Arabidopsis thaliana: one gene and its partner. The protein of the gene in region 1 interacts with the protein of each later gene in a pairwise test. Each region holds a gene or a part of one and is shown on either strand. Other genes may lie near its edges. The genes, in order: AT3G03550 and AT1G74840.

Evidence for each region.
Region 2: the proteins of AT3G03550 (region 1) and AT1G74840 interact in a two-hybrid assay, tested with the Arabidopsis thaliana proteins (one large-scale study listed by BioGRID).

The regions. Positions count from the first base shown.
Region 1 is NC_003074.8:849,283-853,655, reverse strand, and holds AT3G03550 (RING/U-box superfamily protein), read left to right. Parts: upstream 1-1,914; 5' UTR 1,915-2,194; coding exon 2,195-3,265; 3' UTR 3,266-3,548; downstream 3,549-4,373. Other genes in the region: AT3G03560 (uncharacterized protein), read left to right, coding at 1-46, 125-210, 337-382, 471-503.
Region 2 is NC_003070.9:28,114,892-28,119,568, forward strand, and holds AT1G74840 (Homeodomain-like superfamily protein), read right to left. Parts: upstream 2,532-4,677; 5' UTR 2,427-2,531; coding exon 2,144-2,426; intron 1,981-2,143; coding exon 1,772-1,980; intron 1,616-1,771; coding exon 1,310-1,615; 3' UTR 552-1,309; downstream 1-551. Other genes in the region: AT1G74830 (myosin-binding protein, putative (Protein of unknown function, DUF593)), read right to left, coding at 1-302; PTAC2 (plastid transcriptionally active 2), read right to left, coding at 4,346-4,677.

The DNA of each region.
Region 1 (4,373 bases):
CACAGAAGCTGTAGTGATCTCAGAGAAATACTCAAAGGAACTTCAGGTAAAAAAGATTCTTAGACATTGAGAATTAAAGCTTTCCTCATTTTCTTGGTCATCATAATTTAAACAAACTTTGCAGATAAGAGTACCGTCTGGAGAATCCACACAGTTTGTACTGATAAGTTATGATGGATCTTCACATCCCATAAGCACACTCAATGTCCGGTACGTATATACATTTCTCTGCATATAGCCATATACAGTAATTTTGTATCTCGTTTTACCGCAACATTATTTTACAAACTCACACCTAAAATCTCATGATTTTTGGCTTCTTCTTTTTTTTACCAGTATGCGTGATACGCTAGTCTTGACGATGAGAATGCTTCAAAGCAAGGTATGTTTTGAGAATTACTAAAACTAACCTATAAAATTGAACTAATTAGTTTTATAGTTTCATAACAATCTTTTTTATCATGAAGCAGGCACTGGACGAGCGCAGAAAAGGACGAGTTTAAAAGTTAGTGATGACTACACACTACAGAACAGATCCATCCTCGAGACCTTCAAATTTAAGTTTAATAAAATGGGGTCTGCGATTTCTATTTTTATAATTGAGTAATAATTGTTATCGCTATAGTTTTTGTATTATTATTTTTTGTCGTTTAGGTTCTATGTTTTTCTGAACAACAAAAATAAATCTTATTGTAATAGACTGTAACATTCACTCTGTACTGAATCTTCTTTTTTCTTTTTAAATAATACTGGGAAATACTATTTACAATGAGTGCACAACGAATTAAAAAGCAACTGCAAATTAAAAAAAAAAAATATCTGTCAAATATTTTTGTAAAATTTTAAGAAAATATTTAATATAACAATTAACAAATAACAATATTCTCCCAAACAAAGCTAAAACAAAAGAAATAAAATAAAAGCAAAGAATAGACACTTGAATCAGTAAAATAATTAGATTTGGTTAGACATCAAGCTAAAGAGGTTTTGTTCCAAAACATGAGATAACAGACAGTAAAATACATCTAACTTTATAGCCAGTTGGCATAACAACAATAACAACAACAAAAGGGGGAACAACTTTAGGCATGTGCAAATAGATGTGTAATCAATCATTTACGTCATATGACATATATAATTGGGTTTTACAGTTTATCTTTGAGCCCACAAGATAATTTCATTAAATCAGCTTAACGATTATGATTAGTAGCCTATTATTATCATTTGTGTAATTGTTTTTTAATCACACTTTACAGATATATACGATCTCGTAGCCTATTGTTAGCATTTGTATAATTGTTTTTAATCACACTTTATTATTATTATTTTCAACTTCTACATGTAAATATGTTATTTTGTACGTAGGGCATATGGTTGGCGAGTTCACATCAATCGTCCCTTGAACAACTATTAAAATTTTGTATTATAGTTGTCATAAATATGTAAACTAATATAAAACTGTATGTATTCGAATCATAGCAATGATTTTTTTGGAAAATCATTACTTTGATTACAAAACAAAAATGAAAAATCGTATAACGTGAATGTTATACTACTGTAGTTGAAATGAAATGAAAATATTCTTCTTCCATGTAGGTAGTCGGTAAATTGTACTGTATTTCTGACCACAACTTTAATAGATACGTCGAGGAGTAAATTTGTCATCCACGTGGCCCATGTTATAGTATTCCACCTTCGTCAACACTTCACCAACCATTTTTTTATGCCTTGAAATAGACTAAACCCTCTCTCTCTTTTTATTTCGTCAACACTAAAACACTTCTTATGTTACGTTCTCATTTCTCAAAATAAAATCAAAAAAAAAAAAAATGAACTCCATTTATTTTACTAATGTATTAATTTATCTTTAAAAAAAATGGAAGCATAAAGAGAAAGCTAAAGAATAAAAATGAATAAAGCAAATTCTACACCTTTATTCATACTAGAAATAAAAATTTGATAAAGTAGAACATTCACTATAAACATCATTCAATTAGTATTAACACCATCATGCAAAAGCTTTCATGAACATATATATTTATTCATTATCTCCTCTAATAATACCAATTAACTCGAAATAAAAAAATAGACACTTACCAGACAAAAGCAGAGCCCAAAGAAAAAGGAGAGAGACACTTGACACCTCCATCTTCTTCCTTGCTCTCTCTCTCTATCTTTCTCCAACAATCAAATAATGGGTTCAACAGGAAACCCTAATCCATGGGGTACAACATACGATTCATACAGAGACTGTTCTCAAGGAGTATGCAGTGTCTATTGCCCTCAATGGTGTTACGTCATCTTCCCTCCTCCTCCTTCCTTCTATCTCGACGACGAAGACGACTCTTCCTCCTCTGATTTCTCTCCTCTCCTCATCGCTCTCATCGGAATCCTCGCTAGCGCCTTCATCCTCGTCAGCTACTACACTCTCATCTCCAAATACTGCCACCGCCGTCGCCACAACTCCTCCTCTACCTCCGCCGCAGCTATAAACAGAATCTCATCAGATTACACCTGGCAAGGAACCAACAACAACAACAACAACGGAGCTACGAATCCGAATCAAACGATTGGTGGTGGTGGTGGCGATGGACTCGATGAATCTCTGATTAAATCGATAACTGTTTACAAATACAGAAAGATGGATGGATTTGTTGAATCTTCAGATTGCTCTGTTTGTTTAAGCGAGTTTCAAGAGAACGAGAGCTTGAGATTGTTACCTAAATGCAACCACGCGTTTCACGTTCCTTGTATTGATACTTGGTTGAAATCTCACTCTAATTGTCCTCTCTGCCGCGCCTTCATCGTCACTTCCTCCGCCGTTGAGATCGTCGATTTAACCAATCAACAGATCGTTACGGAGAACAACTCGATTTCGACCGGAGATGATTCCGTCGTTGTCGTTAACTTAGATCTGGAAAATTCTAGATCTCGGAATGAGACGGTTAATGAAGGATCGACGCCGAAACCACCGGAGATGCAGGATTCAAGAGACGGAGAAGAGCGGAGATCGGCGTCGTTAAACTCAGGCGGCGGTGTGGTATCGATCGCAGATATACTAAGGGAGATTGAAGACGACGAAGAATCAGCGGGTGTAGGAACTTCTCGGTGGGTAGAAGAAGGGGAAGGAGAGAAGACGCCTCCGCCGTCAGGATCGGCGGCGAATCAAACAAACGGAATTTCGAATTTTCTGGTTCGGAGTTCAATGGCGGCGATGAAGAGATCTGGTTACGATAGAGCAAAAAATTACCGTTTACCGAAATAAGTTATAAAAAAAAAATAAAAAAATAGGGAATTTGAAATTATTTTTAAAAATATCAAAAAAGTGCTGATTGGCTTTTTTAAAAAAATCTATATTTTAGTTTTGGTAATCTTATTATAACAATCAGAATCATTGTAAACCATTTGAGAAACAGAGCAATCAAAGAGTTTTGAATTTACCGCCCAAATATTCTTACGTATTTTTTTTACTTATAATTAATCTACATGTTCTTTTTCTTTTCTAGTGATGCCACTTCCTAGAAAATACCAGTTATGGTAAGTTTAGCTATATGTCACCACAATGACACCATGCAATTTTACGACATCCATATTAATTGTTAAGCTTAATATATATACAAAACGATGATATTTGCAAGGGATTTGGTGACCAATAGATGCACTCTAATTATACACGAGATCCTAAAATTGCAAGATACGAGAGAGGGAAATAAGTCAAGTATGAGATTAATCTATGCGCCTAAAACAAGTTTTTTTATTGCATGGGATCCAGGGCCGGCCTCATGACATGATCGATCACATCAGCCTGAGATCGCTGATGTTTACTTGATCAATAAAAGACGGCTATTGTTTATATTCCGAATTTTCATATGCATTGATAAAGATTATTAACGTAAAACATATATGCATATTTTAAACTTTGTGTGGTTTGTTTAGTTTTAATATACATTTTTTTGCTAATATCCAAGGCTAGAGCACTGAATTCTTTCTACATGTGAATATTGTGTCGGTAAGCCTTTTGAATAATTCACAATCCTTAGAAGATTTCCTCAAAAACAATGTTCAATTTTGAGAGAATATAATGAATTTTCAATTTTACAAAAATTAACTTGAAAGATCTTTTTTCCTTCTTCCTAATTTATAATTCGTAAATAATTACATCATTTTTTGTGCTTTCTTCTGCTCGATGAATAGATGACTAATAAATGTTAGAGAGCAAAGCTGAATAGGAGAATTATGTACATCTTATGTGCATCTTAATTTTAAACATGGTGTTGTGTTGGAAAACATTAGAGACATCGTTACGTTGATTATGTAGATATTTGTTATGAATGCTCTTCTAAGTGGTTGTGTAATGTATATAAATTATCACA
Region 2 (4,677 bases), on another chromosome or scaffold:
TCGCAGATTGACTCGTTGTAATAGAATTGAGGGTCTCTAGGGACGAGAATGTGGTCGATTCTGGTGCAGAGAAGACAAGGAATGTTGAGGTCGAAGAATTTGGCGAATTGGTTTGACAGAAAGGCGATAACGCCGTCGATGAAGAGGAAAACAATGAGGCTCCATTCAAGAACAGTGTAGATGAGGAAATGAGGAAGAGATCCGAGTTCTTGTTCCACAAATTTCTTGAAAGAACGTTTAGACATTGTGGCTTGTAAAAGCAGAAACAAGAACAAGAAAAAACAGAGCAATTGTATATACATAGGAGATCGAATTTTGGTCAAAGATCAACAAAGAACAGAGATCATGATCTATCTATCTCAATCTTTTGTGATTTGTGTTTCTATTTCTGGGTTTAGAGAGTCTAGATTGGGCTGGAATTTGATGAGATAAAGTACCCAAAAACAAAGGATAGTCGCAGATTTGAAATTGATAAATTTAGAGACAATGTCAAAAGACAGAGAGATACAAAACAAACAAAGATAAACTGGATTCGTTTTTTTTTTTTTTTTCCCCGCTTAGACGTGAGGAGAAGTTTGTCGTTGACGCTAAAACTGAATACAACCATACACGACAGAAACAGAGGACATGCCAACACACACATGACATACACATATACATCATCATCATATAAAAATGATGCTGTTTGATTGGTCGATTAATGAATGGGGATCATGTTCTGTGATTGGAAGATTATTGCTTACGCAACAGGGGTAATATGTAATCATCCCACACAAAATATATTAAAAGCATCTGATGGGAAAAGAAAAAGCTCCACTATGATGGAAGTGACCAATAAAATTTGACATTATTGGCATCATTAAAGATAATGACATTATTCTACAAACATAAAATATCTTATCCTTGGAAATCAGATATATTATAAAAACCCTAAAACCCCATGAATCATCTAACATGATTTAGATAGCCACATGATAAGCAAGTACTACGACTCTGTTTATGATTGAGATCATGAATAAAACAAACATAACGTTAATATGATTTATAAGTTTTGATAGATCCACACGAATGAACTTAGAGAGTATTACAACAACTTCCAAACATGGAAGGAAAAACACAGGATGATTATGAACCCTAAAACCCCACTTAAGTCCTATCTCCAAACTCTGTTTATTATTCTTCTTTTCAACAGATTTTTTTTAGCCAAATACATAAATTTGACGAATTTTTTTATAACAAAGTCAAGACCTATCTGTACAGCAAAGAAACAAACAGGGTGTGTTGCAGATTTTCACCTTTAGGATAAGCTCTAAGCGACTCCAATCGTGTTGAATGCTGGATGCATTGAAGGAGATGGTTCATTAAGATTAGATGAAGCTAGTGAGAGGTTGAGAGAAAGCGGTGCTGGACTTGACTGAAAAGTTAATGGAACCAAATTGATGAGATTCGATGAAGTAAGCTGTCCGTATGATTGATTCCCTGTTGGTACCGGGAACTCGGGAAAGACTTGCATAACCGGATGTATAGAGAAGTTGTTGATTTCCGGTACAGGAGAAGATGATTGAGATGTGTTCTCCTGTATAAGCACTTGGTGATCTTCTTCCATGGGTATGACCTGATAACAAAACCAAGCAAAATCAGTTTTGTTATACTTAAGTTTTCACTAACCAACAATTCACAAAGGCTCTCTATTAGTTTCTTTTAAACAACTAAGCTAAAAACTAAACCTAACCACTTAACTTACTAGAGTCACAAAGGATTAGAGATTTACCGTATCAGTAGTCATGTCAAAAAGGCTAGATCTTCGGCGGCGACGGTTAAGATTACTTCGCCTGAGGAAGTATTTCTGAGCATGACTAGCAACTTGTGTAGAGGTTCTGGTCTTGACAAAGTTTCTTGATATTCCTTTCCAATCTCCTTTACCGACTCTCTGCAGCCCAAGCAAGAACAGCTTGTGTTCTTCTTCAGTCCATGGAACTCCTAAGAAATAGAAAGAAACCCAATAAATTAGCCATCTTTCTAAATCCAAATGAACATAAAGTTGTTCATAGTCCATTTCTCAAACCATATCTAACAAATCCCTAAGTTTAAAGTGATCAAATTTATGGAATGATAAAAAAAAGTTTCAATCGAAGAGTAATACCTCGTTTCCTCTCGATTTTGCCGTTAGAAGAAGACATGGGAAGAGCTTCATCCGCCGAGGCGTAACCGGCCGGGGTTTTGTTCATATCTTGTTCATCTCTATCTTCGCCGTCGATCTTTGGAGTCTCCGCCGTCTGTTCATAGTCAGACAGATTGTTCAAACTCACGCACTTTCTCATCGGGTCAAGCACAACCCTGACTCCGAACAGCATAATCTCTCTTCTTGTGCCGCTTCCAGCGCAGGCGGTAGTGGACTCCGAAGAACTAGTACTACCGTCGGCCATGATAATCTTTCCGATTTTGCCCCTTGTGCTTTCTTTCTCCTAAAGAAGCAAAGTACACAGAGCAATGGGCAATGGAGTGGTGTGAGTTAGATCTGAGCTTCTTTGGGGACCCTTTTATAAGCCAAAAGCCACGTGGTTCCTTTTTAAACTATTACATGTTGTAGGTGTTGGTGACGGTACCATATGACACGTGTTTTGTTTTTATTCGTCTGTTCTTGTATTTTTTTCTTACCTGCCTGTCTCTCTACAGAGTTTTCATTTGGATAGACTTTTTTTATTCATTGGCTGACTAGATTTATTAGGTTTTTTGTTAGTAGTTTAATTAATCTTATAGGATGACGAAAAAAGAGTTAAATAAATGTTATCCTATAATAAGAAGTTAAAAAAGTATTTCGCTATGTCGACCAAAAAATGTAGGTCGTATAACGAAGAAATATTTATTGACTTTCGCAAACTCAAAGTTAAATACAAAAAAATGAAATAACAGAATGAGAAAAATGAAATGAAATCGACGCTTTTATTTTTCTTAACGTTACCCTCATGTATTTTTATGATAAAAATCTACAGGTTATAATGTACTGGTCAACGCAATGTCTCTAAGGCCTAAGCGCATGCAACTTGAGCTTAGAAAAATAGTCAGCTTCTGAAATGATTCTGTACTCTGCTCTAATAATCTATTTAGTTACAGCTCCATCCTTGTACTTTTTTTTCTTCTAAAATACTATATCTTGTGGATCTATGAGTTGATTATTAAGAAAAAAATCTTGGGAGACAGGTGAATCCTTTTTGGAAATTATAACTTTGAATTTCAACACAAAAACTTACAATTTCAGGAATCTAATTCAACAACAAAAATGATTGTGTAGTCGAATTTGTCGTTTTCTAGCTAAGAGTAAATTTTAAGACGCTGTTAAGGACCTAATTGTAGTATAAACAGCATGATCGTATGTCCAGACTTGATCACAACTATATAGCATTAAAAAACAAAAAGGTGATAGTTTTAGTCTTTTAGTAGAATGTTAGGATGTGATTTGACTGTAAGCAATATGATCACATACTATTATTATTTATCTATTTTAGATTTGTAGGGAAAAGATTCTAAAAAGTATTTACAAAATTTGGTAAATAGTTTTGGAAGACAGCAAAATCACACAAAGCACTAGCATCGGTTAGAAAGCAAAGCCACCATTACTTTTATGCGCACACAAAGTGGAATCTTAAAGTTGTAATGTGTGAAGCACTATAGGAAGATCCTTTCTTTCTCCAATCTTTTTCTTATTTTATTACCAATTTGGATGACAAACTTGTAGTGACTTTCCTAAATCAGAAAACAAACACATATCTGAGGACGAGAGAGAGAAAAAGATTAATCAGACCGAAGAAGGAATCTTGCACAACAGATTGTTTTCTTTATTCTGGGTGGAGTTGGGTCATTGCTATGTAATAAGTTAGATTTCGAAACAGAGAGAGTTCATCAGGTGAGGTCACAAGCAAAAACTAGAGCTTCCCTGAGGAATCTTGATTAATAGATCCTTTAATTGTAACTAGAGCTTTGATCTTACATTAGCATTTAGCTTTATAGTAATCAAAAACATAGTTGAATGGAAAAAAAAACGAAAAAAAATCTATGGCTGCAAAATCATGGGTCTAACAATCCATCAAAACACTTAGTTGGCTACTTACTTGAGATTTTCATATAGACGCTTCTTCATATAAACTAAGATCACCATTTATCTTCTTCTCCAGCTTCTTCTGTCTAACAGAGGTTGACTCTACTGCTTGAAACCATAGCATAGTTATCATGGATATGGAGTGCTTGTGAAATACGCCCACAGTTTTCACCCACCAGTCTATATGGAGGAAGGCAGAAGAGGCCTTTGATTTCTGGACTTGGCAACAGAAACTACGTTGTCTAGTTCTTAAGCTGTGCTCCCTGCTAGTTCTTTTTTCGTCCTGGTTCTTCGTTGTGTAGGGTTACCGCTGTGGTTCGTGTCACTGCTTGTTGAAGCTCTTGTTCCAGCCGCAAATATTGGCGAGTTTGCTAATGCCACTAGGTTTTTATTTTCGGATTCTTCTGAAGTTGGCTCTTTCGTTGACAGTAACTGCTTGAGCTGAGATCGCTGGCACATAATGCGACCTCCATTCCATCCCGTGAAGGAAAATGAGGACGAGACATGATCCTGCAAGAAGGAGAAAGCAGCTTTCGCGATAGGAGATTCTCTTGCAGCAGAGCTTTTCTCCAACTGTCCCC